Oryzias latipes: one gene and its partners. The protein of the gene in region 1 purifies or fractionates together with the protein of each later gene. This does not show direct contact. Links are inferred from orthologs where the notes say so. Each region holds a gene or a part of one and is shown on either strand. Other genes may lie near its edges. The genes, in order: sf3b4, prpf8, rbm17, ddx42, ilf2, eftud2 and phf5a.

Evidence for each region.
Region 2: the proteins of sf3b4 (region 1) and prpf8 purify together in Homo sapiens (affinity purification with mass spectrometry; 4 studies listed by BioGRID and IntAct, with this or other methods). This does not show direct contact. The link is inferred for Oryzias latipes from reciprocal best matches to the Homo sapiens genes SF3B4 and PRPF8.
Region 3: the proteins of sf3b4 (region 1) and rbm17 purify together in Homo sapiens (affinity purification with mass spectrometry; 4 studies listed by BioGRID and IntAct, with this or other methods). This does not show direct contact. The link is inferred for Oryzias latipes from reciprocal best matches to the Homo sapiens genes SF3B4 and RBM17.
Region 4: the proteins of sf3b4 (region 1) and ddx42 purify together in Homo sapiens (affinity purification with mass spectrometry; 3 studies listed by BioGRID and IntAct, with this or other methods). This does not show direct contact. The link is inferred for Oryzias latipes from reciprocal best matches to the Homo sapiens genes SF3B4 and DDX42.
Region 5: the proteins of sf3b4 (region 1) and ilf2 fractionate together in Homo sapiens (co-fractionation; 3 studies listed by BioGRID, with this or other methods). This does not show direct contact. The link is inferred for Oryzias latipes from reciprocal best matches to the Homo sapiens genes SF3B4 and ILF2.
Region 6: the proteins of sf3b4 (region 1) and eftud2 purify together in Homo sapiens (affinity purification with mass spectrometry; 3 studies listed by BioGRID and IntAct, with this or other methods). This does not show direct contact. The link is inferred for Oryzias latipes from reciprocal best matches to the Homo sapiens genes SF3B4 and EFTUD2.
Region 7: the proteins of sf3b4 (region 1) and phf5a purify together in Homo sapiens (affinity purification with mass spectrometry; 6 studies listed by BioGRID and IntAct, with this or other methods). This does not show direct contact. The link is inferred for Oryzias latipes from reciprocal best matches to the Homo sapiens genes SF3B4 and PHF5A.

Annotation. Positions count from the first base shown.
Region 1 is NC_019869.2:7,215,903-7,220,175, reverse strand, and holds the start of sf3b4 (splicing factor 3B subunit 4), read right to left. Parts: upstream 2,801-4,273; 5' UTR 2,741-2,800; coding exon 2,707-2,740; intron 2,116-2,706; coding exon 1,987-2,115; intron 1,902-1,986; coding exon 1,350-1,901; intron 871-1,349; coding exon 712-870; intron 522-711; coding exon 366-521; intron 1-365. UniProt on the Homo sapiens protein: Component of the 17S U2 SnRNP complex of the spliceosome, a large ribonucleoprotein complex that removes introns from transcribed pre-mRNAs.
Region 2 is NC_019871.2:16,913,121-16,917,222, reverse strand, and holds the start of prpf8 (pre-mRNA-processing-splicing factor 8), read right to left. Parts: upstream 2,801-4,102; 5' UTR 2,644-2,800; intron 2,171-2,643; 5' UTR 2,160-2,170; coding exon 2,003-2,159; intron 1,903-2,002; coding exon 1,734-1,902; intron 1,529-1,733; coding exon 1,364-1,528; intron 1,249-1,363; coding exon 1,030-1,248; intron 949-1,029; coding exon 736-948; intron 605-735; coding exon 479-604; intron 384-478; coding exon 278-383; intron 1-277. UniProt on the Homo sapiens protein: Plays a role in pre-mRNA splicing as core component of precatalytic, catalytic and postcatalytic spliceosomal complexes, both of the predominant U2-type spliceosome and the minor U12-type spliceosome.
Region 3 is NC_019881.2:3,098,602-3,102,805, reverse strand, and holds the end of rbm17 (splicing factor 45), read right to left. Parts: intron 803-4,204; coding exon 699-802; 3' UTR 501-698; downstream 1-500. UniProt on the Homo sapiens protein: Splice factor that binds to the single-stranded 3'AG at the exon/intron border and promotes its utilization in the second catalytic step. Involved in the regulation of alternative splicing and the utilization of cryptic splice sites.
Region 4 is NC_019866.2:4,156,423-4,159,330, reverse strand, and holds part of ddx42 (ATP-dependent RNA helicase DDX42), read left to right. Parts: intron 1-182; coding exon 183-335; intron 336-413; coding exon 414-518; intron 519-655; coding exon 656-775; intron 776-862; coding exon 863-1,039; intron 1,040-1,119; coding exon 1,120-1,248; intron 1,249-1,331; coding exon 1,332-1,431; intron 1,432-1,527; coding exon 1,528-1,575; intron 1,576-1,649; coding exon 1,650-1,747; intron 1,748-1,957; coding exon 1,958-2,234; intron 2,235-2,380; coding exon 2,381-2,607; intron 2,608-2,691; coding exon 2,692-2,802; intron 2,803-2,896; coding exon 2,897-2,908. UniProt on the Homo sapiens protein: ATP-dependent RNA helicase that binds to partially double-stranded RNAs (dsRNAs) in order to unwind RNA secondary structures. Unwinding is promoted in the presence of single-strand binding proteins.
Region 5 is NC_019869.2:21,694,652-21,697,289, forward strand, and holds part of ilf2 (interleukin enhancer-binding factor 2), read right to left. Parts: coding exon 2,596-2,638; intron 2,145-2,595; coding exon 2,066-2,144; intron 1,985-2,065; coding exon 1,897-1,984; intron 1,687-1,896; coding exon 1,625-1,686; intron 1,542-1,624; coding exon 1,427-1,541; intron 1,243-1,426; coding exon 1,152-1,242; intron 1-1,151. UniProt on the Homo sapiens protein: Chromatin-interacting protein that forms a stable heterodimer with interleukin enhancer-binding factor 3/ILF3 and plays a role in several biological processes including transcription, innate immunity or cell growth.
Region 6 is NC_019866.2:5,482,054-5,485,553, reverse strand, and holds part of eftud2 (116 kDa U5 small nuclear ribonucleoprotein component), read left to right. Parts: intron 1-55; coding exon 56-167; intron 168-252; coding exon 253-393; intron 394-460; coding exon 461-562; intron 563-1,432; coding exon 1,433-1,515; intron 1,516-1,696; coding exon 1,697-1,783; intron 1,784-2,502; coding exon 2,503-2,629; intron 2,630-3,500. UniProt on the Homo sapiens protein: Required for pre-mRNA splicing as component of the spliceosome, including pre-catalytic, catalytic and post-catalytic spliceosomal complexes. Component of the U5 snRNP and the U4/U6-U5 tri-snRNP complex, a building block of the spliceosome.
Region 7 is NC_019877.2:2,094,200-2,098,013, forward strand, and holds phf5a (PHD finger-like domain-containing protein 5A), read right to left. Parts: upstream 2,668-3,814; 5' UTR 2,596-2,667; coding exon 2,544-2,595; intron 2,271-2,543; coding exon 2,247-2,270; intron 934-2,246; coding exon 767-933; intron 690-766; coding exon 600-689; 3' UTR 501-599; downstream 1-500. Other genes in the region: aco2 (aconitate hydratase, mitochondrial), read left to right, coding at 3,630-3,665.

The DNA of each region.
Region 1 (4,273 bases):
CTGTTTAAGTCTAAAATGATCAAATCAAAACTAAAAACCAAACGACTCTGAATCTGATCAGGATATCCTTAATTCAGCTGACAATAATTCATTAGCAAGTTTAGTTTGAAAAGGTAGGTATTTGTTTGAAGTTTTACTTTATCAACAACTCAAATATTAGGATGCTACAAGCACAGGTGATTTCATAAATGTAAGTCAGTGACTGAGATGATTGGCGGACCTGGTTCCTTACCAAACCCCCATTACATCACTTTCAGAGCGTCTCTGCCAAATCCTGCCAACTCTGACACTTCCTTCAACGCCGTTTTTCCTTTCAGGTGTTTTTTCTATTTGACAGAGACATGAAGAGGCGTCATAACACTCACCCATGGGGGGTCCATATGGTGCTCTGGGCGGCATGCCCATAGGCGGGGGTGGGGGGAGGTTGGGGGGCGGGGCGCGTTGGGATGATCCTGGTGGAGCAGGAGGAGGTGGAACCATGCCAGGCGGAGCGGGAGGGTGCATGGGCATCTGAGGCATACCTGAGTGACAGAAACGGATCAAACTGGAGGTGGCGGGAAGAAAAACTAGATACTAAAACGAGAACAGGCTTTGACTTTCAGATGTTTATGCGGATGCCAAACAAAGTAAACGCGGCTCTGAGGCTCAAAACCTCTGTATTTCCTCCGACAGAAAGACAAAAACCACTCTTAAGAAGTCACAATGTCTCACCTGGATGCATACTTCCAGGCGGGAAGGGTGGTGGTCCACCTGGACCGCCAATACCCTGTGGGCCACCTGCTGATGGAGGCATCCCCATGCCATGGGCCATGGAAGGAGGGAGTGATCCGGGGGGAGGAACAGGGGGAAAGGCACCAGGAGGTGGCAGACCTGCACACACAAATCAACACAATCTACTTGAAGGACTTGTGGGTACATTTGTTTGTATTTTTGCAGCTAATTGCTAATTTGTATCTGTAAAAACACTTGTTTAGGCTAACACAAAACACAAGTCCCACACTGATCATCCTTTGATCTTTTTTCAAAGCGGTCTTTTATGAAAATGATGATGGTGATGATGCCATTTTTAGCCAAAATCAAAAGATCCTGTGTTGTTTTCTAGAACATAGTTTCTGCGGAATGGCAGTAGTTATGTAAAACTACAGAAAAATCCTTTTTTTTTGTCTGCTTCAGATTTAAATCCAGTTTTTAATTTTTGCAGTTTGCAGTCAAATGCAAGTTTGAGCTACATTTTCTTTGTCTCTATCATCAGAAAAATGCCACAAAAATACATCAAAAAGACAATGTTCATAAAAGCGAGTCTTTAAAAAAACAAAACTATTTTCACATAAATGTGACGTAACACCCACCTCCCATGCCCGGAATACCCATTCCAGCTCCTAGTGTGGTCAGGACCGGGGTGGGAAGAGAGGGAGGTGGTGGGGCATCAGCGAACAGCTGGTGGGGCCTGTCCGCCTGGGACAGCGGATTCTGCGCCGCCAGGAGTCGCTCTGCGGCGGAGCCGTGGCGCTCCCCTTTAGAATCTTTCTTGAAGGCGTACGACACAGTGATGGGCCGGTTACAGAGGTACTGGCCATTCATGGCCTCGATGGCGGCATCAGAAGCATCAAAACTGGCAAAGTTGATAAAAGCGTAACCCTTGGAGTTGCCGGTGTCTGGGTCTCTCATGATCTTTGGTGTTTGGAGAATCACACCGAAGGCACTGAATGTGTCGTAGAGCAGTTTCTCATCGATTTCTGGGTCCAGGTTACCGATGAAGATGTTCGCACCCACATCCAGGTTTTTGTTGTGTGCCGAGGCCTTATTGACTCGAATGGGTTTTCCATAGAGCTTGATCATATTCATTATTTTAATAGCATAATCAGCATCCTCTTCGCTGAGGAATTCCACAAAGCCATAACCTAAATAAAGAAAAACAATTTTGTAAAGATAATTTTCTAAGAAGATAATTGTTCAATCTTGTTGACCAACTGAAAGTGCACTCACCCTGATGTTGACCCGTGACCCTGTCTTTGGGCATGTGCGTGTTTACCACAGGACCAGCCTGCAGGAAGAGTTCCCATAGCAACGGCTCCGACACTTTCTCATCCAACCCACCGACATACACCGTGGCATCTGGACAGACAAGAGCAGGCTTGGTGAGTAAAACACTACAAAGGTTTCCACTTTCTGACACAAGTTAATGAATACGAATTACAAAAAGAAATGACCATATTTATGTTCACTTAAAGTTTCATTAGTTCTTTTTAAAACCATTGTTGAAACTGTGAAAAATTTAATGATCATGCTGCCTGGTAAGAATAAAATGAGGTCAATGAACTGAAGTTAAATTATGAAAGAAGTTGCAGTTGTTTAGTATTAGTTCCTGGCATAAAATATTGCTTTTTCTCTTTCTATTTATAGATTTGCAACAATGGAAATGAGTATACGTTTTTTCACAGCTTAATGCTTATATAAAAGGACGTGCATCTAAAGTGCAAATTCGATAAACGATTAATTGGGAGAATGGCTTTATTAGCTACAAGCTAGGCTAAAGCCGCTTCACTCCATGTGTTTACCCGGTTTCAACAGAAGAATATTAGCTAATTTTAGGATCCATATTCGCTCTATGAGGAAAAATGTGCCCTTGTTGGGTGTTACTACACATTACATACATTTATGCACGGCTAAATGTCAAAAGAAATGGGTAATAATTCCGTAAATTACCTTGGTTTCTTTCAGAAATTGGTCCCGCGGCCATGTTGAATGACCAACGCACCAGAAGCGTTCATGTAGGAAGCTCCGCCTCTTCCTGTTCAGCAAACCGGAAGTTATAATATAAAATGAACTCCTCTTTCAAAAAATAAAATACAATATCTTTGCTTCGTTTTAGATTATTTTTTTAATAGCATCGAACAATAAAAACACAAGACCAGATAAAGTTCAAAACTTTGTACGGACCAATTTATTACATATTTATATACATTTTTATATAAATCTACTAAAAGTATAAACATGGAATACAAATTGTTCATACAAAATACAATTTGGGCATAATAAAACCATTTTTATAAAACAATACTGTATCAAAATAAAATAAAAAAGCATGTCATGCAACAAAGTTCAAAACACAAAAAGCCAATGTTTTCATTTTATAAATGCATATATAAAAATGGGTTAAAAAAGCCTTGATCAATAATAACATAAGTGAAATGCATTTGTGTACAGAGCTGAGACTTTTACATTAAAAAAAAATGAACATTAAGAGCTAAAAATGGCTGCTCATTTAGAAAAGTAAGAAACAAAAAGGACACACATAGGTCAAAGTCTCCAAAAGCTTAATAAAAAAGATGTTCAGATCATTTTTTGATGGCTCTTATGATATTGCAATCATTGTTTCTAAAAATAATAATAATAATAATCAAACGAAAAGAAAAAGGAAAAAAGTCTTTTGACTAATCCAACTTGAGTCACAGACTTAGCAGAAAAAAACAAATTTTTATTTCAGTCAAACTGTTCATTCCTTTTAAGTCTCATTAGAAATCTTTCAAATGTTTCAAGTAACTGAGCAAATTACAGATCCATTATGTAAGAAGTGTAAAGGCCAAAAAGTTTTAATTAAGATGTTTTTGAAAGGTTTTACAATCAAATACTACCTATTTTCTTAAAGTTGTATCAACATAACACAATTCCAAATGGTAGACTTTAATCTCAGTCTTTTGGATAATTTTCTGTTATTTTATGTTGCCAATTCCTAAACTTTTATTGTGCTGCACAAATGCCAGCCCTCCTGCTGTTTAATTTGCCTAAATCCAGACTGATCTTTTAAGTAGAGACAGTCCAATAAACTGCATTCACAAGCGTCTTCAAAAGACCACCGGATCAACTGCCTTCATGTTTATAGGGTGCCTAACTATAAAGATTTTTACTTTTCAACAAGTGTTATGAGGTTGTATTTTATTTTCTCAATGTAAAGTTGTGGTATCTCAAACCAAAAAAGGAAAAGCAGCTCAGAAACTTTCCAAACTCCTTTTTCTAACCTTCTTATTGTACCTCTAACCAACACTGAATCCTGATCCATCTACATTTCAAACACAATCCATACCAGAGCAGCATTGTAGGTCCTTCTGTCGGTGACACAGAGCATACATTCGGCTGCTGGTGTTCTCACCACATACAATGAAGTCTACAATAGACAAAAGGAACATGATGACAGATTACCATCTAATTCTTGTTAAACCTGAGCAGCTGCTGCAGGCATCAGTAAAGCCTTAGTCCTGCGTTCACCTGTACG
Region 2 (4,102 bases), on another chromosome or scaffold:
CAGGAGACATAAATAACCTAAATGATGTGTTTTTAGGGCTGCCGGTATGCAATGAGAAAGTGAACATTGTCTAAACGGTGAGGTTTTTCCCTGCAGCTGCAGTCAGACATGAATTAAAATGATCACCATTCATTTTGCTTTTCCTCCTGTTCTTACGCACAGGCAAGCAGGCCAATGCAAGTGCGCCTTTGTAAGAGGATTAGGTCAATAAATAAAGTCTTCTCATCAGAGAATCATAAAAAACTCTCAAAACAATGAGATCATCTGAGATTCACACCTTGACAGAATGTCTGTGGGAAATGGGGTTGATCAGCGGATCAAAGTAGAACGCTGGAAGATCTGGATCCTCCGTTTTGATAAACACCACATTTGGGGTATGGTACCTAGACAATAATAAAGACGTGAGTAAACATAATGATCAAAATGACAAATTTGGAGAAACACAGCAATTTTGTAAACACCAAAGCTTATTCGTTACCAGGTGAGATGCACGTGGTGTGGCAAGTTGTTGTACAGGTAAGGGAATGCAATTTTGTACTCTGTCCTTATTGGCTGTCTGATGATGATTTTGTTGATGTCATTGAACTCATTCCAGTCCTCATCCCTGTATGAAAACAAAAGTTTAACTACGACTCTTAATTGCCAAAGCAAGAAAGAAGAGATCCACATGACACAAAAAAGAAACCCAACAGAAAATGTCTTAACTGTTTTGTTACATAACATGCAGGGACATACTGGAGGTTGATGTCTCTGACAAGCGGCTCGAACTTTGGTCCCCCTGGAATGGCCATATTTAGAGCCTTGGATGTGAAGAAAGCTTTGAGGTCAAACAGGTAAAAATAGTTGAAATCCACCAGGTCTGTCAGAAGCTGATTGGCCAGACGATACAGCGTTGACATCATGGGCAATGTGAACTGCCATCGACGGTAGGTGGTTCCATTCACATATCTAAAAATGTACATTTGTTAACAGTAGGATCGCAATGTAGAATGGTTGAGCTGAAGCTTGGACTCATATATGGACACTCACTTGGAGTTGTCTTTGAGGGGCTGGTGTTCATATAACCACTCAACAACTGAGGCATCTTCCTCAGAATCAAGCTCCATCTGGATGGCTTCCAGGGGTTCCACGTCAAGAATGTTGTCAGCATAATCGAGCGGAGGCTCCTCATCGTCGAACGGTGGGAAGCGCATTCTTTTGAAGTGCCGCCGATCGCGCTTCTCACGACGCATCATGATCCACATGGTGCTGGGGGGAAAAAAAATAAAGTTGGAGAAAACTGTTCAACAGATAAATAGCAAGACTGCAATTACAATGAAATTTACACACATTCCACAAAACTAGGATGATACTACTCACTTACCCCCACTGAGCAATGTAGACTGGCTCTATGACCCACGGAATTTCATTCACAAATGAAATGGCTCCAGTGATGTGGTACAGCACCGGCACATCTCGGATCTGTTCCCAGGGCATCGGCATGTTTTCAAGCAGCTTCAACACAGCGTGGGGCATATACTTGAGAGCACTGTTAAACAACAGAAAAGAGAATGGAAGGCATGTAAAGGGTCTGCAATAACAGTAGTTTTGACCAGGAAACTAATACTAATGTATCCAAAAAGACAAGCAGAGGAACAGTGGAGGGTTCCATAAAGTTAAAAAAAAATGTTTAAGAGAAAAATAACATGACTTCAAATGACTTTGCATCTGCAGAAAGTAATGCTTCATCTTACCCAAGGTAGACCCTTTTGTCATGCCGGAACTTTCTATTGGTCATGTCGCCGTGATCCCTGATGATCTTGCGAACATGTTCAGGAGGCATGTCCTCCTTCTGGGCATCCACAAAGCCAAACTTCCTCTTCTCGGCATAGCGTTTGGCTTGTAGCTGTTGCCATTTCCGTGCTAAAGATGGAAAAATGTTTTAGTAGAATAATGTTTGAAATACATGTATTAGATGTTAAAAACAAAACTTAAAGAAAGGCAAACTCAACGGACAACGCACCCTTTTCTTGTAGTTTCTCTTCAGACATAAAGTCCGGAACTGGCACAGGAGGGGGGACACCTGGGGGTACGCCCGGCGGCACAATTGGAGGCACACCAGGGGGAACAACTGGGGGCATCCCAGGAGGGACCCCTCTGAATGGAAAGTTGACTGCCATACTGTAGCAAACTGTGAAATATAAAGTTTTTTTTAAAAACTGTAAGATGCAAAACTACATACATCAAATTTGAAAAAAAAAAAAAAGAGTTAGGTTACAGACTTTAAAGGGACTAAACTTTCAACTATTTACTAACACATAACTGCTTGGAAGCAGGATTATTGTTTGCAGGCTCTCGTTTGTGTAACATGCTAGGCTAAATCAACATGGCTTCCCGGCTAACGGGCACACTTCCCACAAAGTGCACAAAATAAACATCAAGGCACCATTATCCACTTGTGATAGTCAATTAAATGTTGACATGGTCAATTTTAAAAGCGCTGTTATATTTCAAATGAAGTGTGCGACACTAATATAAAAAATCCGGGTAAACTGTTTTAGGCCAAACGTTACAGCGCCGTAAACTAGCATGCTGCTAGCGTTAGCATCTCCTCGCGTTAAGTAACAAAGAGTAAGTTAAAGACAACAGCAAACATGTTCCTACCTTCACCACAGCAGTATTGTTGCAACGTTCAAATAGCCTCGGCGCTCTCGCTCTCGGCTACCATAACATATCGGCTCTTCTGATTGAGTTTCTCTTTTTCCCCGCTCACTCACGCTGCCGTTCGACTCGACGACAACGGAGGATGAACGCAGGTCTGTGGCATTCAGAAGCAGAGTTTACGACAGAAATAAACGTATCACGCGGCTAAAATGGCATCGCTGTCGCATTTGCTCCACGCTAAATCTACGCAAACGTAGGGATGCCGAATACCCGGATGTCTTTGTTTCCGGAGCTTTACCGCCCCCGCAGGATTGGGGACACAATTAATAGTTTGTACGCCAAATGAAAGAAAGAGCGAGTTATTATGGAGTTGCTAATTTCCAATTGATTTGAACGTCAGCACAAAAGCACCTTACAAAAAAGATCATTTTTAATGCTATTTTCCCACAAATCTTTCCTGTTTATGACTGATTTGCTTACCGTTGAATGAATTTTGTTTAATTGCTGTGTGACAGTTTTACAAATGTAAAAGCACAAAATAACATCACAAAATAAAGTGGCAAGAGCAGTTAATTCGGAACCTGTGGATGTTTTTAATCCCCAACTATCCCATGTTGTGTTCAAGTCATTTTACACCGCCAACATTTTTTCCAGTTTCACTTTTATAATTAACAGGAGGGTCAAGTCTGCCAGAATGTGTGTCCACGTAGTGTTTCGCAGTAGAAACTAATTAACAACTTTATCTTTTTTAAAGCCTATTCTTGATGTAAGACATGCATGTCCAAAGTCCGGCCCATGGGCCTTGCTTTCAAATTTCCACCGGCTGCAGCCTCTGGTCACAAAATCCGTATCCAGCCCCCAGCACCTTCTGTAGACTGTGTTACAATTTCTTAACTGTGATTGGCTAAATTCCATTTTTAAAAATTGTAAATCTGTGGATACACTGTCTGTTGAACAAGCCGATGCGGAACCTTTCCAGTTCATTTCTAAAATGTCAACTGTAAATAATAAAAAAGAAAAGTTGACAGCAAGAGCAGCCACTTGTAGAATGTCATTTATAAGTTTTTCGTTAGCGTTTGACAAAAGCATAGATGCAGAAACTGTTTTTTTGGGGGGAGTAGACAATGACCTGAACTTGAACAAAGAGCCTTGAGGGCCAAACGAAAGAAACAGATTCATTTGTTATTTCTTTGATCAAAGCAACAGTGGTTTGTACTTTGGAAGAAGAAAACTTTTTTCCTGTTCACATGTTTTAAATTTGGAAGTTTAAAGCGAGCATTTATAAATGAATAATAGGTGATTCTTATTGGGAACCCAAATTTATTTTGTAAAGTTTTTTTTTTTTATCCAGTCAAAATTTTTAGCATTTTATTAAAAATGAAATTACGTCATTTTGGTAAAAAAAAAAAAAAAGCATTTAGATGGAATTATGTTCTATGTGAAAAAATGAAAATAAGTT
Region 3 (4,204 bases), on another chromosome or scaffold:
CATTCTGAGAAAGAACAGGGATGGTCCGTCCTCGGGAGCTTTCCGTGAAACCCAACCATGTGCGGAACACTCTGCACGAGCGCCATACGGCGAAGGTTGAGTTTAGAACCAGACCGTACCGGTCTGCATCGGAGTCCATCAGCACCTGTAGAGCCCGACCAGGTCTCTGCCAAAGGCCACTTCAATGTCACCAAGAGGCATGCAGCAGCTTTTCAAAACCAGGACTCGTTACCCAACCCGCCTCACTGATCTGATTTAAACCCACTCCAGGGGCATCTCTTCATGACGTCGGGCCCCTGGGGGCCCCCTGGCTCACTTACATAAGTCCTGAATGAGGCTGAGGCTCCGTTCACTGTCCTAGTCCCCTCCATAATGAAGCAGGGCTATGTTAGGACCGCCAAAACCCCCCAGAGAGGCAGAACCCAAACACAGGAGCCCTGTGCATTTCAGGCAAGAATCAGACGGCAGAAGTAGGCTTCTTGGAAAGTGGAAACGGCACATAAACGGCTTTAAAGCTTTTATTTTGACATATTTGTCAAATGACAGGGAAAAAAACAACAACTACATTTTACAGTTCTGACCACAGAGACGCTGTTCAGGAAATATAAAAAAAAACAAAAACAAATTTATGTACAAGTCGATGAACGAGGAGGAGGAGGATGATGATGGTTGACGCCGGCGCCGATCGCAGGACCACGTCAGACCTGTTCTCCCAGATCCAAAACCCGGAACTTGTCCAGGTTGTAGAAGCAGGCTTTGACGACCCTCCCGCCAAAATAACGGCCGTTCAGATCCACCACGGCTGCAGGAAGGACAGGATGCAGGCAGATTGATATCAACGTGAAAGCAAATGGCATGGAAAAAAACACACTGATTAAAATGACTTAAAATGAAAAGAAAGAAAAAGAAGTTGGATTTGATGCTCCAAACCCAAACATGAGCTCAGGAATAGGCTGCAGAGTGAAGCAGAGATGGTTGGTGTGCAGCAGTGCTTCCTAGAACCTGCTTTTAATTAGAAAAACCAACAATAAAGGCACGTTTCAGCTGAAACTAACCATGGACGAACTCAATTCTTTGAAAGGATGTGATTCTTTCTGCTACACTTTCTGTTTACGGTCATGAGGACATTTAAAATCATTCGTTCCACTTCCAAAGAACGCTGTTTTTGCTTTGTCATCCTGAGGAGGGAATGTGACGACACACGCCTCTCTCTCCCGTGGATCATCTGAGCTCCAGGCTGCCTGACATCACGCAGATTCCTTTCTCTGATAATGTTGGGCTGGTTTAGCTTCAGGGTTGGAAAAACCACCCTTTTCTCAGAGACCTTTTCAGCCGTCTGGATGAAGCTCATCTGCTGATCTAGTCAATCATGTAGTTGTAGAGTCAGATAAGTTCATTCTCTCTAAGAGTTCTGGTAAATCGCCTGTCCGTCCTGGGGGAGGATCCCTCCTTCATGTGGACCCCCCCGAGGGTTCTTCTGTTTTGCCCTGGAATCGTCTAAGTTTAGTCTGTTTGGTTTAGTTTAGTTTGTTTTGTTAATTTTAGTCAGTTTAGTTTAGTTTGTTTAGTTTAGTCTGTTTATTCTAGTCAGTTTAGTTTAGTTTGTTTGGTTTAGTTTAGTTTGTTTTGTTAATTTTAGTCAGTTTAGTTTGTTTAGTTTAGTCTGTTTATTCTAGTCAGTTTAGTTTAGATTGTTTGGTTTAGTTTGTTTTGTTTAGTTTGTTTTGTTAATTTTAGTCAGTTTAGTTGAGTTTGTTTAGTTTAGTTTGTTTAGTTTAGTTTGTTTTGTTAATTTTAGTCAGTTTAGTTTAGTTTAGTTTGTTTAGTTTGTTTAGTTTAGTTTGTTTAGTTTAGTCTGTTTATTCTAGTCAGTTTAGTTTAGTTTGTTTGGTTTAGTTTAGTTTGTTTTGTTAATTTTAGTCAGTTTAGTTTAGTTTGTTTAGTTTAGTCTGTTTATTCTAGTCAGTTTAGTTTAGTTTGTTTGGTTTAGTTTAGTTTGTTTTGTTAATTTTAGTCAGTTTAGTTTGTTTAGTTTAGTCTGTTTATTCTAGTCAGTTTAGTTTAGATTGTTTGGTTTAGTTTGTTTTGTTTAGTTTGTTTTGTTAATTTTAGTCAGTTTAGTTGAGTTTGTTTAGTTTAGTTTGTTTAGTTTAGTTTGTTTTGTTAATTTTAGTCAGTTTAGTTTAGTTTAGTTTGTTTAGTTTGTTTAGTTTAGTTTGTTTAGTTTAGTCTGTTTATTCTAGTCAGTTTAGTTTAGTTTGTTTGGTTTAGTTTGTTTAGTTTAGTTTGTTTTGTTAATTTTAGTCAGTTTACTTTAGTTTGTTTAGTTTAGTTTGTTTTGTTTAGTCTGTTTATTCTAGTCAGTTTAGTTTAGTTTGTTTAGTTTAGTTTGTTTAGTTTAGTTTGTTTTGTTAATTTTAGTCAGTTTAGTTTAGTTTGTTTAGTTTAGTTTGTTTAGTTTAGTTTGTTTAGTTTAGTTTGTTTTGTTAATTTTAGTCAGTTTAGTTTAGTTTGTTTAGTTTAGTTTGTTTAGTTTAGTTTAGTCTGTTTATTTTAGTCTGTTTAGTTGAGTTTGTTTAGTTTAGTTTGTTTAGTTTAGTCTGTTTATTTTAGTCAGTTTAGTTTAGTTTGTTTAGTTTAGTTTGTATAGTTTAGTTTGTTTTGTTAATTTTAGTCAGTTTAGTTTAGTTTGTTTAGTTTGTTTAGTTTAGTCTGTTTATTCTAGTCAGTTTAGTTTAGTTTGTTTAGTTTAGTTTGTTTTGTTTATTCTAGTCAGTTTAGTTTAGTTTGTTTAGTTTAGTTTGTTTAGTTTAGTTTGTTTTGTTAATTTTAGTCAGTTTAGTTTAGTTTGTTTAGTTTAGTTTAGTTTGTTTAGTTTAGTTTGTTTAGTTTAGTTTGTTTTGTTTAGTCTGTTTATTTTAGTCTGTTTAGTTTAGTTTGTTTAGTTTAGTTTAGTCTGTTTATTTTAGTCTGTTTATTTTAGTCTGTTTAGTTTAGTTTGTTTAGTTTAGTCTGTTTATTTTAGTCTGTTTAGTTTAGTTTGTTTAGTTTAGTCTGTTTATTTTAGTCTGTATAGTTTAGTCTGTTCAGTTTAGTCTGTTTAGTTTAGTCTGTTTAGTTTAGTTTAGTCTGTTTAGTTTAGTCTGTTTAGTTTAGTTTAGTCTGTTTATTTTAGTCAGTTTAGTTTAGTTTGTTTTGTTTTGTTTAGTCAGTTTAGTTTAGTTTAGTTTAGTTTAGTTTGTTTCTATAGGGGAACCTTTAGAATTGGTACTTCATTGGTACGTCATTCATCTCTGCAGGAAACTACTGTTCCATTTGAGCACAAAGATCTGTGGCTGTTAGTCTGTTTATTCTAGTCAGTTTAGTTTAGTTGGTTTAGTTTAGTTTGTTTTGTTTAGTTTGTTTTGTTTAGTTTGTTTTGTTTAGTCTGTTTATTTTAGTCTGTTTAGTTTAGTTTGTTTAGTTTAGTCTGTTTAGTTTAGTCTGTTTATTTTAGTCTGTTTAGTTTAGTTTGTTTAGTTTAGTCTGTTTATTTTAGTCTGTTTAGTTTAGTTTGTTTAGTTTAGTCTGTTTAGTTTAGTCTGTTTAGTTTATTTTAGTCTGTTTAGTTTAGTTTGTTTAGTTTAGTCTGTTTATTTTAGTCTGTTTAGTTTAGTCTGTTTATTTTAGTTTAGTCTGTTTATTTTAGTCTGTTTATTTTAGTTTAGTCTGTTTATTTTAGTCTGTTTAGTTTAGTCTGTTTAGTTTAGTCTGTTTATTTTAGTCAGTTTAGTTTAGTTTGTTTAGTTTAGTTCGTTTTGTTTTGTTTAGTCTGTTTAGTTTAGTTTAGTTTAGTTTAGTTTAGTTTAGTTTAGTTTAGTTTAGTTTAGTTTAGTTTGTTTCTATAGGGGAACCTTTAGAATTGGTACTTCATTGGTACGTCATTCATCTCTGCAGGAAACTACTGTTCCATTTGAGCACAAAGATCTGTGGCTGTTAGAATGAACCAGCTGCTCTCTGAGCAGAGCAGCTGGAGTCTCGTAGCTGCAGGCGGGGACGGTTCTTTGTTTCAGTGTTCGGACCGGAGAAGCGTTCTGACCGCAGTCCGTACGGCTGCAAAGGCACTTGATCGTAAAAATACTAGAAGCGTGTTTAGAAGATGATCTCACTCCGTGTCGGAGCTCTGCTTGTTTACAACAGACTGCATAATATTTTCTTCTATGGT
Region 4 (2,908 bases), on another chromosome or scaffold:
CATTTTTCAATGTTTTTTTCCCCACTAAAATGTAGACTGTTTGTAAGCTAAATGACTGCTTCCGACTTGAATATTTACCAGTTAAACAGTGATGTTTTTATATACTAATAAAAGAATTTGGGGAGCCTTTAGAATGTCGCTGCAAACTCACCTTTTCACATGGCTGTGTGAACTCTCTGCAGGAAGCCTACTTCCGCTACATGGCAGAGAATCCCACAGCAGGGCTAACCCAAGAAGAAGAAGAGGAAAATATCGACTATGACAGTGATGGAAACCCAATTCCCTCCACTACTAAAAAAATCATCCTGCCGCTTCCTCCTATCGACCACTCAGAGGTACAGCTTCATGTTGTCCATGTGCGTTGTCTACCGGATTTTTGTTTTCTGATTTTGCTGCTTTTTCTTTCTTTGCAGATAGATTACCCTCCATTTGAGAAAAACTTTTACAATGAGCACGAGGAGCTCAGTAGCCTCACTGGAAGTCAAGTGGTTGAATTAAGGCAGAAACTTAACCTGCGAGTAAGTACATCAGTCACTTTAAAACCTGAAATAAACCTCTTGTTTGTAAAATCTTAAATGATGATCCTTATATGTTTGCGCCAACATGGTGGGTTTTTGTCTTTTCTCCATGTTTGCTCTTTCCTTTTCTAAATAAGGTATCTGGCGCTGCTCCACCAAAGTTATGTACCAGCTTTGCCCACTTTGGTTTTGATGAGCAGTTGATGCACCAAATTCGAAAGTCTGAGTACACTCAACCCACACCGATTCAGTGTCAGGTACTGTGCAACTTTACAAAAGACGTGCAGCTGAAAATGTCTTCTAGAATAGCTGCATGCGGACTCCTGGCTCTGATCTGGTTCCAGGGTGTGCCGATTGCTCTGTCCGGACGGGACATGATTGGGATTGCCAAAACCGGCAGCGGTAAAACGGCAGCGTTTATCTGGCCCATGCTGGTCCACATCATGGATCAGAAGGAACTGGAACCTGGAGAGGGACCCATCGCAGTCATTGTTTGCCCCACGAGAGAGCTTTGTCAGCAGGTAAGCGATCAGATCAGACGATTTTAAAAGATTTCCTCTGAAGGTGGCGGACTCATTGATTATCCAACTGCGTTTCCTAGATCCATGCCGAATGTAAGCGTTTTGGAAAAGCTTACTCGTTGCGTTCCGTGGCTGTTTATGGAGGAGGCAGCATGTGGGAGCAGGCTAAGGCCCTTCAGGAGGGAGCAGAGATTGTCGTGTGCACTCCAGTAAGTAACTTGTTCCGGATTTGTGTAAAAACCTCTCAGTTCTTGCGGAAACGACGGGTTTTCTCTCATGTGCATTTCTACAGGGACGTCTGATCGACCATGTGAAAAAGAAAGCAACGTCCCTTCAGAGAGTGACATACCTGGTGTTTGATGAAGCTGACCGGATGTTTGATATGGGCTTTGGTGGGCTGACATTTTCAATGTTTTAACGAAAATTCTGTTTACAATTTGAGTGTTTTCATTTAAATGAGTAACATAAATTTTGGATTTGCCTTTTAGAATATCAGGTCAGATCCATTGCAAGTCACGTTCGTCCCGACAGGCAGAGTATGTGATTTCCCTTTTTTTTATACATTTTTGATATAAATTGCATTATTTAATAGACCGAACTTCCCTCGCAGCCCTTCTGTTCAGCGCTACATTTCGAAAGAAGATTGAGAGATTGGCGAGGGACATTTTAGTGGATCCTATTCGTGTGGTACAGGGAGACATCGGAGAGGTAGCCACGTTTTTCCACAAATATTTTACGTTTAACCATATTTTATGTTTAGACACACAGACAATTTGCTGCTTGTCTAAAAGTGTTCATGTTAAGTTGATGACTTAAATAAAAAAAAAAAAGTAAAAATATATTTTGGAGCAAATGCAGATTGTCTGAAATAAACACAAAAAAAGCTTTTTTTGTACTTCCCTCTCCTCCCCCAACAAGGCCAACGAAGACGTGACTCAGGTTGTGGAAATACTCCTCAGTGGGTCAGACAAATGGGCTTGGCTGACTCGGCGGTTGGTCGAGTTCACTTCAGCCGGCTCGGTCCTCATTTTTGTCACCAAGAAGGCGAACAGCGACGAGCTAGCTGCGAACCTGACGCAGGAGGGTTACAGCCTTGGCCTCCTGCATGGAGACATGGACCAGAGCGAGAGGAACAAAGTCATCAGCGACTTCAAAAAGAAGAACTTGCCCATCCTGGTGGCCACTGATGTTGCTGGTATGTTTGGAGAGTGACTTTTGTGATTTCTTTGTGTCCGTTTTATTGCTTTTAAATCTGTACTACATTTAAGAAGGGGATCTTAAAAAAGGGGAGGGGGGCTTGAAATTGTTTTGTGGTTACATTCCTTCATTTTGTGTGCCCAGCTCGCGGTCTGGACATTCCCTCCATTCGCACGGTGGTGAACTATGACGTGGCGCGGGACATCGACACTCACACACACAGGATAGGTCGAACTGGGCGCGCTGGAGAGAAAGGCGTGGCCTATACCCTGCTAACCAACAAAGACACATCATTTGCTGGAGATCTTGTGCGGAATTTGGAAGGAGCAAACCAAGCGGTATCTAAAGAACTGATGGATTTAGCCATGCAGGTGAGATGATCAAAGCCGAGGACTGAGGGTTCTGTATGCTGGAGGTCTGGTTCTTAACACAGCCTTTTTTGGGATTTTGTCCAGAATCCCTGGTTCAGGAAGTCCCGCTTTAAGGGGGGTAAAGGGAAGAGGCTGAACATCGGCGGGGGTGGCCTCGGCTACAAAGAGAGACCAGGACTGGGAGCTGAGAGCTCTGTGAGTTACCAAACACTGTTTTGGAAAACTGCATAATTTCATCTATATTTCTAAAATCAGATAGAAAGAAATGTGAGATGTTGTCACATTGCAGGATCGTAGCATC
Region 5 (2,638 bases), about 14 Mb from region 1:
GTATTTTTGTTAGAACTGAGCGACTTTATGAGCTACATCGGGACAAGGAAGTGAAGACTTTAACCACTTCTGATTGGTCAGACGGATGACATGTGATTAAGCCTTCAAGAATGATTGGCGGAGACAGTTAAAGGGGCGGGACTTTTCCGTAAACTGTTATAGCAGGTAAATCGCGGTACCGTCATTCTTATCAAAATGTCTTTAATAGAATTAAATAAACACAAAGAAAAAGTAATTTTACGATCTTTCATATTCCTAACTACTCAGTGTTTTATCAGGACCTTTTTGGATGAACACAGAGCTGATATCCTGGAGATGGTAAATGATTTTGGATCAGTTAATGAGGGCAGTTTCCCACGGCACACCTGACCATCTCCAACAGCACACTAGTGTGCCGCGGCACACTGGTTGAAAAACACTGCCCTAGAGAGTGCAACAAAATTAGGGCTCTTTTGTGGACGTGTGATGATTCTCCGCCATGCTAGCAGACAGTCATATGATGCCACATAATTGATCATGGCATCTTTGCAATGTCATATTCATTATGCTTTTCTATTCAAATTCTTGGCTTTATTCAAAACAAAATCTGTTTTTCAGAACTTATTCCAGTAAACTGAAAATACTTTTACTTTAATGATTTATTTACTTCCTTGTTTGCTTCCTTACAGAATGAGCAGTGTTGAAAAAGAAAAAGTAAAAGCCTATAGGCGGATTTATTTTTTCTTTCGAGTCAACAAAGGCAGCTTCATTGTGAAAATGAAAAAGCATTTCGGGTATTGACTTATTTCTAATTATGAGACAAAAAACGCTTCCATAAAATGCTGCAACGGTCAATTTTTTAGCAATCTGCTGCCCTGGACTTTTGTAAATAACATGAGGATGATAGAAGAGGAGGTGGGGTTACTGTGGTGGTGTTCCCTGATAGGCTAATGGTCCTTTGTTTTGAAGCCAAGGTGTCAGATGCTGCAGCTAGTGGGGAGGAACATTCAATCAGGCTTAGCTGGAGCTTTAGCTCGTCATTTGTGGCCCCTGTGCCAAATCCATTGGAACTGGCGACAGAGTCATGTTTGAAAGTAACTAATTTAGGGACACCTTGAATTAAAGTACAAGACTTTTTTCATTAATCCCTCAAAGATAAAAAAAAATCTTACAGCTGGCGTCTCCGTCAAGGCCAAGAATCTTCCTGTATCCTCCATGGGAGAGCACCCTGACCAGTGTCTGAGCTGTGAAACAAACCATGTCCTGCAAACACAAAAAAAGAGAAATATTGGATCAATCCACGCGACAGACATTTTGTTGGCTTTCCTTTTATCTTGACTGCGTATTTTCCACATTTTTCCACATTAACTATAGCAAAACAGAACAAAACTACAACAAAGACACCTCTTCATGCTCACAATGAAGCAGTAAAGCCAACCGGGTTTACCTGCTGCTCCAAAGTCATCACTGTGTGAACTCTAAAGTTCCCACTTTCACAAGGATCTGTGATGCCCACAGAGCCAGGCAGGAAAAGCCCGGCAGCCAGCATCTGCAGGCAGCGCCTTTAGGGAGGCAGAAAAGGAAAGGGTGACTTGTGTCGTCGCTCATTTTAAAGAAATCACAGCCGTCAAGAGATAACACCAACCTGTAGGCCACGTTCAGGGACAAAGGCTGCCTGGAAGGATTGTTCATCACTGCGGAGTGGCCCTTCAACGAACCATAGACTGAGATTAGCAGGGCTTACTACAGTTTCACTAAAGAAATGGTTTCAAAATGTTTGTACACACACACAACAAATGTGCAATATTGTTTATGCTTAATTGAAAAAAAAAATGCGTTATGGAAAAACTAAATGTCAGTTCCTGCATCCTCTTAACACGTGATTCTTGTGCTTGTGTATTTTTCAGTGTGATTTACCAGCAGGTCAATAATCCAGGGGGTGAGGGGTTCAAATCCAGGGAAGCGCAGTCGGAGATCTTTCAGGAGGCGAATCAGAACTTTGACCCTGAAGATCATCAACGTGCAACAGTTCACAGATACTCATCACACGTCAAGAAACACAAAGAGAGACGAGCGGGGCGCTCACGTCGACTGAGAAGCGTTCTCCTCAAACCAGCGGGCGTGGCGGATGGCAGCCAGAGCACTCTGCAGCACTCGGATGTCCACTAGAAAGAAAAAAAACGAGCATTTTTGTGGTGGTAAAGTGAATGTGTAGAGCCTCCAGAACATCAAACCTCCACCAGAATTATGGATACATTGACAGCTCCACTCAAGTTTCTGAACCCACAGATGTTTATTTGACAGATGTTGGGAGAGGTCCAAACTGTAAGTCTACACCGATTTATTGTAAAATATCAACACTATAAGTTATGAACTTTTCACTCAGACAGAAACACCAATCTGCTAAATAATTGGTTCACTATAAGAGCCGAAGAAATCAAAAATTTAAAGAATTAAAACAATAGATTTTCATCAACAAAGAATCATTTGTCAAACTTTAAAGTCAACAAGAAGTAGATGATTGCTCAGACCACATTCTTCAAACAACATTGATCAATTATTTCACAAGCCTGCCTCATTCCTATAAAAGTGCTGTGCGGGTGTGCGCTCTCTTACGATGTAACTCTGGATCCAGTTTGCGCAGGTTGGGTGGAACGGT
Region 6 (3,500 bases), on another chromosome or scaffold:
GAAATCCGCAACCTGAGTGTTGCGTAAGAAATGGTAACGTCTGACACCTTTACAGGTACCAAATTGAGGTGAATCGAGTGCCAGCAGGAAACTGGGTGCTTATCGAAGGCTGTGACCAGCCGATCGTGAAGACGGCCACAATCACAGAACCCAGAGGGAACGAAGAGGTGAGAGGTCAACAGAAAATATCACTGTGGGTCTTCAAAGGTTTCAGCCATATCAAGTTTTTGCTGATTTACCTCCCTCTGCCAGGCTCAAATCTTCAGGCCATTAAAGTTCAACACAGCATCGGTTATCAAGATCGCAGTGGAGCCGGTGAACCCGTCAGAGCTGCCGAAAATGTTGGACGGCCTGAGGAAGGTCAACAAGAGCTACCCTTCCCTGACCACAAAGGTGAGTCTGACATGTTTTTGGTTCATTCGCTGCTGAACAGCTAAAACACCACCTGGTTGTGTTCCAGGTGGAAGAGTCTGGAGAGCATGTTATCCTAGGAACTGGAGAGCTGTACCTGGACTGTGTGATGCACGACCTGAGGAAGATGTACTCTGAGATCGACATTAAAGTAAGGAAATTAACACCTGCTTTAAACTTTGTTAACTCTTTAAAGACCTACTCTGATGAAAACTGTGTTTTTAACACGTTCTTGTGGCATTTTTCTGACGATGAAGGACATATGTAAAGCAAATGAAGCTCAAAATTCAATTTTTGGGTATTTTCTTCAAATCGTTAATCAGGAAGATACGAAAAAATGCTGTTTGAAAAAGATGGTAATCACTGGGCAAAATTCACTGGGCAAAATTCACTGGGCGGGCCACAAGCTCTGCTCCATTCTGATGCATCCACTTGCCAAATAGATTCATTTAGGTCTTCATTTTCCGGGTTGGCATAAGGCTTAAAACTGTACGGCTGGATAGTTCCAATTTTGTCAACTACTGCCGCTCTGCAGAAACTATGTTCCAGAAAACGACAGGTTTTTTTATTTGGGCTAAAAACGTCACAATCATGATTAAAAAACCACTGCAAATGCTTTTAAAAAAAGATAAAAAAAAGATGAGCGGATTTGGACTCTAACACTAGAGATGTCACTTAAACAACACACACTCGTTGACATACCAGAACTTGCCAATCTACGAGTGTCAACTGATTCCGGTGCGTAGAAAAGCGGCGTTTCCCATCGCCTTTGTGGAGTTGTAACGTAAAGTGTTGCATATTGATGCAAGGCTGCTTATCTTCGCTTCAGAATTCTCTAAATTTCCGTTAATTGCGGTCGAAGAGTTACAGTGGTCTAAGGAATGTCAGTACTGGAGTTAAAGCTCGGATGTGAAAGGCTTAAGAACTCCAGAAGTAAACTAGCTGGAAAAAGTCTGAAGGATGTAATGCTGTTGTGTTAATGTTGTGGAACAACTTGTACATCTGCTGTGTTTGCTCACAGGTTGCAGACCCGGTCGTCACGTTCTGTGAAACCGTTGTGGAGACATCGTCTCTGAAGTGCTTTGCCGAGACGCCAAACAAAAAGTATGGCTCAACATGACATGTTTATATTCAGCTCTGTTCCGGGCTCGTTTGAAGCGTTCATTTGTGTGTTGGAGCGCTTAGTCTGGACTCCTCTCGCTGTCCGAAGTCTTCGTCTCTCTGTCCTTCCCCCTGGCTCCGAGCCTCTGCAGGCTGAGTGACATCTGTGTGATGTGATTGACAGGAACAAGATCACCATGATTGCAGAGCCCTTGGAGAAGGGACTCGCGGAGGACATCGAGAACGAAGTGGTGCAGATCACGTGGAACAGGTAGGAATGTGAAGACGCCTCCATCAGTCACTTCTTAATTAAACACAAGCCACATAATGTGCCTTTATGGTAAATTTGCCTGTTACTTTGATGTCAGCACATTCATTTATCCATCATTTCCCTTTTGCTGGGTTAAATAAGATTTGTCTCTTTAATTAAATTTAGTCATGGAAGAAGGTAGAGTTAAAAGGCTTTTTCAATGGACTAATTATTGGATGTGGACATTGCTCTCAGATCTGTAGGTCTGTACTTTCTGATGAGTCTCATTTGGAAATGGCACATGGAGGTGACAGCCATATTTTTATTCATTAAATCAATTATCAAAGTAATCATGAGTTTCTAAATTAATTTCTGCAGAAGTGCAGGAAAGGGAAAGCCCTCCAACGTGTCATGAAAAATCTGTCCTTATGAAAACTCACCTTGGCATATTGATCAGCCCCTCCCCTCGGTAATTGAATTATGCACTAAGAGCCTGCATGAATTTCCCATCCCTCTTGCATGCTTGGATGCTGCAGACAGGCTTCCTGTCTGAGAGGCCATCTGGACCCAGCAGGACCAACCTGCAGCAGCAGGGCTACAGGAGCGACACACTTCACACACCACCCCTTCTCTCCCATTAACCCCTCTGCCCCTCCATTCAGCCAATCTCCTTAATGTTCCAGCTTGCACACTGTGCACGTCTCCTCCCAACGAGCGTTTGTACTGTTTCTTCGCCACAGGAAAAAGCTGGGGGAGTTTTTCCAGACAAAGTACGACTGGGATCTGCTGGCTGCAAGGTCCATCTGGGCCTTTGGACCGGACACAACAGGACCCAACATTCTCGTGGACGACACGCTGCCGTCAGAGGTACGACGCCCGCTGGCTGCTGGTTTGAACTGCAGGTTCTATCTGATCCAAGAGCAGCAACAAATGTCTTTTTTTTTATCTGAGCAAATCTGTTTTTAACCCTTAATCAGTGGTGTGCAGCCTTTTCCAGGCCATGGCACAGTTTTGCCGTCTCATATAATATTTTCACGTATCGGTCTTTTAAAGCTCCAGTTTTCTTAACCTTTGAGGGTGAAAATCTATCTACAGCTGATTTAAAAATTAAATTAGATTTAAAATGTGATGCTGTAGCCTTCAACCTCATCCGGCTTTTAAGGTGCAAGGGATAAATGCAAGAATAAAAGAAAAAACGGTCACTACAACTGGCAATTTTTTCTTAATATATACGTAAATGTGAATCCACCGTATTAGCAATTTTATTAGCATCTTTCTAACATTAGAAGACAGCCGTTTGGAGAATATTATGCAGGAAAGACAACTGGTTTTTGTCTGGTAAAGGCAGCTTGCTTTTATTTTGAAGTCATCTCCTTTCTGCCAAAAGAAACTTTCCAAATACGTTTTTTATTTTTTGACTTTGCTAGCTGGGGGGTTTCTATTTAGCGGTGGGGGCAGCGGCTTTAATAAAGTACTGCTACTTGACATGTGCCTAGAATCTGTTGGATGTGGTGGGGAGAGTCCAGCAGTTTTCAGTAAAACTTCCCTCAGAATAAAATTATAAATAAAACAGAAAATATGTAGGTTGGGTGTTTTTTTTTTTTTTTTCTTTCTTTCCAGTCTGATACCAGCTGTCCCACGAAACAGGAACGGTCCCCTGGCCTGGGGGCCGTTGCTCTAAACCATAAATTCATGTGAAGGTTTCCGATTTAAATCTACTTTAAAGAACAAATGAGAA
Region 7 (3,814 bases), on another chromosome or scaffold:
TTCCATAGTTGAACTTTTAAGTAATCTTTAAGCAGTTCATCTACAATTACTTTTCTGATTTAAATAAATTCATTTGTATCCTGAAGAACCAGGAATCAGGCTGTCCTGTTTTCAGACGGGAGAAGTCAGAATTATACGTCTTTAAATACATCATTTCCTCACTTTTGATCAGTAAAATGTAGATTTTGTTGGACTCAAATCCCTAATTTTTTAACTGAACTCTCAAATGTTTAGTTTTTTTCTTCCCTGTTGTCTCCATTTCAGGTTAATGTGACGAGAAAAGACAAACCAAAACTTCCAGATCTGAAGCTCCTCAGATCTTTAGGAAAATGTCGAAACTTTTCTTCCATCTAGAAAAGTTTAGGCTGCATTTATACGACCTGGATCTTCCTTGGAACCTAACAGGAACAAGGTTGAATGAGAGAAAAGAGCCTCCATGTATAAACGATAAGAAAAAAACGCTTTAAAACTGGATTATTCAGTCAAACGGCCACAGAGACTGGAGTACAAAAGTGAGTTTTATTCACAAACCAAAACAGTTTTCTTGGAAGTTTGGAAACGAGAAGGAAAGCCTAACAGACGCCGGGGGGGTTTCTTCTTCACCTCTTCTTGAAGCCATACTTCTTCCTCTCGTAGAACAGGTCTGTTTTGGAGCTGCCCAGGTTCACGATTTTCGGACATCCGTCCCGCTGCACAAAAAAAAGATTAAGGGTAAAAACATTGGTTCATTTCAGCGAAGGGCCGATCCTGGAGCCCAGAGACTCACATCTTTCTCCTGAATGGTGCACTCTTTGCAGTAGTACGCATCAGACACTCCGGGGCCTCCGCAGATCACGCAGCGCCCCTGATAGGACCCGTAGTTACACTCGTCACAAATGCGCACCAGCGTGCACGGCCTCACGTACGAATCACAGATGACGCACTTCCCATCGCCTGAAAGGAGCAGATCAGGGACAGTCTGGTTGGTCTCTGCCGTCTTTTAAACATTGTTAAAGTCAGACTTTAAAACAAGTTATTTTTGTAAAAGAAGACGGTCAGACGCTGCATCTCACTTCCTGAGTTTCTGCTGCTAGTTTCTTTGATGAAATGACAGCAAAGAGCTTTACAGATACATCAAATTAAACTTTTTTTTTTTTAAAACTCGAAGCGCTTTAAAATTTAAAACTAAACTCAAGACTTGAAAACAGCTGATCGTTCGTGTTTTTTGATCAAGAACATCTGTGTTGCTCTATATGCAGACAGGAAGGAGATACAATAGAGAGAAGAGGATAAACAGATAAGAATTGGCCAACACAGTTTGTTTACAATAGTTCAGAACTCTGGGTTGATGTTTTTTTTTTTTAAAGCAATATTTGACTGACATAATAACTTTGATGCATCTGTATGAAGGACTTTATCAAACTTCTGTTTTTCGAATCTCATCTTATTGACCAGACTTCCAGACTGGGAATTTAAGACATCTTTAATGTCATATCTATATGTTCCACGGCATCCTTTCCTATTTAGTTTTACAGACTGCTTCATTCTAGATTTTCTATCTAGAAAAAGTGTACTGATTTTCGAGGCAGGAATTCAAATGCTTCAGTCAGAAAGCAGGCCCAAACCACAATAAACTTCCACCGTGCTTAAAGTCCCACTCTGATCCTCTATTGAAATATTTTCATAACGTTTCCAAAAGCTGTGTCGTTTCTCCAAAGCGGCAGGAGTTTATTAGAAATACACCTATGAGTTGTGGGCAGATTGGTAGCGTGGAGCATGCCCGTCCCCCCTTCCCATCACCCATCTGTTTGTGTGCACTCACGCTACCTTTACAGCCCCTCACACCTCCAAACCTAACTGTATCGGTTTTGTTTCCAACAAACGGAAAAAAAACCTCTGTGGAATTCAATGGACTTTTTCTTCACTCTGCTTTATGTTCCCACTTAAAGTACTAAGTACAAATGAGTTTAGACTCCATTCACATTGAAAGCTTCTTGTTTTAAATTCTAGAAATGGAAAAGTTTTGGATTGTAGTATTTTTTCCTAGACTAGAGAGGGCTTTTATTCTGAAAATAATTCTCACATTAAACATTAAAGGCCCGTGCAGAAAAAAAAAGAAGAACAAATCAGGGATGGCCGCACGCAAAGAATCACTTTATAATATGTTTTTTTTTTTTTTGTTATTTATAAATATTACCTATAAAATGATATCTACATGCACTCTTTCTTTGAACGTTTGATAGCATTAAACAATTAAAAAAACTTACATTTTTCGCAAAGTCTCCCGATAGCTGGTGATGAAAACAGATACAGTTAATAAGGTAATTTACACAGTTTGGGATTAATATTTTAAATAATTAAATAGAAAAAACTAGGTATTTAGACATGTCGACTCCAAACACAAAACTAGGCTAACACGACCATGCTAACAGTCTCATTGAAACCCCATGCCATACATGCTAACAAAGCGCTAAACCTTTGAAAGTAAACCACGAATGTGTCAAATTACCTGCGACGAACTTTAAGGTTTCAGACACTAAACAAATAATTACGTAAAAACTTACCAACTCCCGCTTGTTTTCTACAAAAGATCAGATCTGGGTGATGTTTAGCCATGTTAGCTAACGACAACCCAACGCTCCGCTGACTCTTCTTCTTGCGTGTCGGTGGAAGCTAAAAGCAGCTAAATGGCCAATACTGACACCTACTGGACAGAAGCATGTACTATTTTATTTTTTAAATTACAAAATAAAACATAAACACGAGTTATAATATTTAAGATAATGAAAGTAATTAATTTAAGTTTTGAAAATGTAAAAATAAAAAATGTTACCAACATATTTATTTACATTTTTTTTATAAATACTAGATTTAAATAAATACCCTTTTTGCTTTTAAAATAGGCTACATTTCCAATTTTTAAAACCTTTTTATGAAATTTTCTGTTTTAAATTCATTTTTTAAAATGTTTTCTGAAAACCAGAACAATATATAAAATTATGAGAGAGTTACTTTATAAATAAACATGTCAGCTTGAGGAGGAAATTACCTGTTTGAGAACTTTAATTGCAGTTCATCAAATTAAAATTTTCTTGAGTAAAAATGTACTTTGGTGTGCAATGCATACCCTTGCTGAAGAAATAAAATTTTTTCTAACTATTGCGCAACTTTTTTGATGAACAGAAAATCTAGCTTATTTAACTTTGTTCATTAATTTATAAAAATGTTACATTTCCATCATATTTCTATATTTATTTTGTTTAATCAAGCACATATGAATGATTAACAACCATTTTACAAACCTAAACTTTTAGTCCATTGAATTGAAAACATGATGCAAATATCCTGTATGTATGGAAAATTTAATTCAAGCAATGCGTTATTTCTTTTAGATCTGCTGATGTGACGACCAATATTTTTCTTATGAGTCTGATGACACATTTTGTCACATATTGACACAATTTCTTTAATATTTTATTCCATGTAAACATGTACATTTTAGAAAGGAAATAAAATTCAGCTGTATTTCCAGGCTTTTCCACCAGAGGGCAGCAGTAAATACGACACTGGACGAAAAACCAAAGAAGAAGAAAGAAGCTTTTATACATCAGTGACGTCACGGCGATCTCACATCTTTGTCAGTGAACAAAATGGCATCTTACTGTCTCACCGTCGCACGGCTCCAGGTAAGAGCCTAAAAACTGTGATTTTTAAGTGTGAATTTCCCCGCAGCGAAGTGTCGATTTGCATGAAAAGATTTAACATCTCGTGTACAGTTTCCCGGTCTCATTAAAAGACCGAGAGCTAACGGATGAACGCAGAGGTTTTTCCTAGC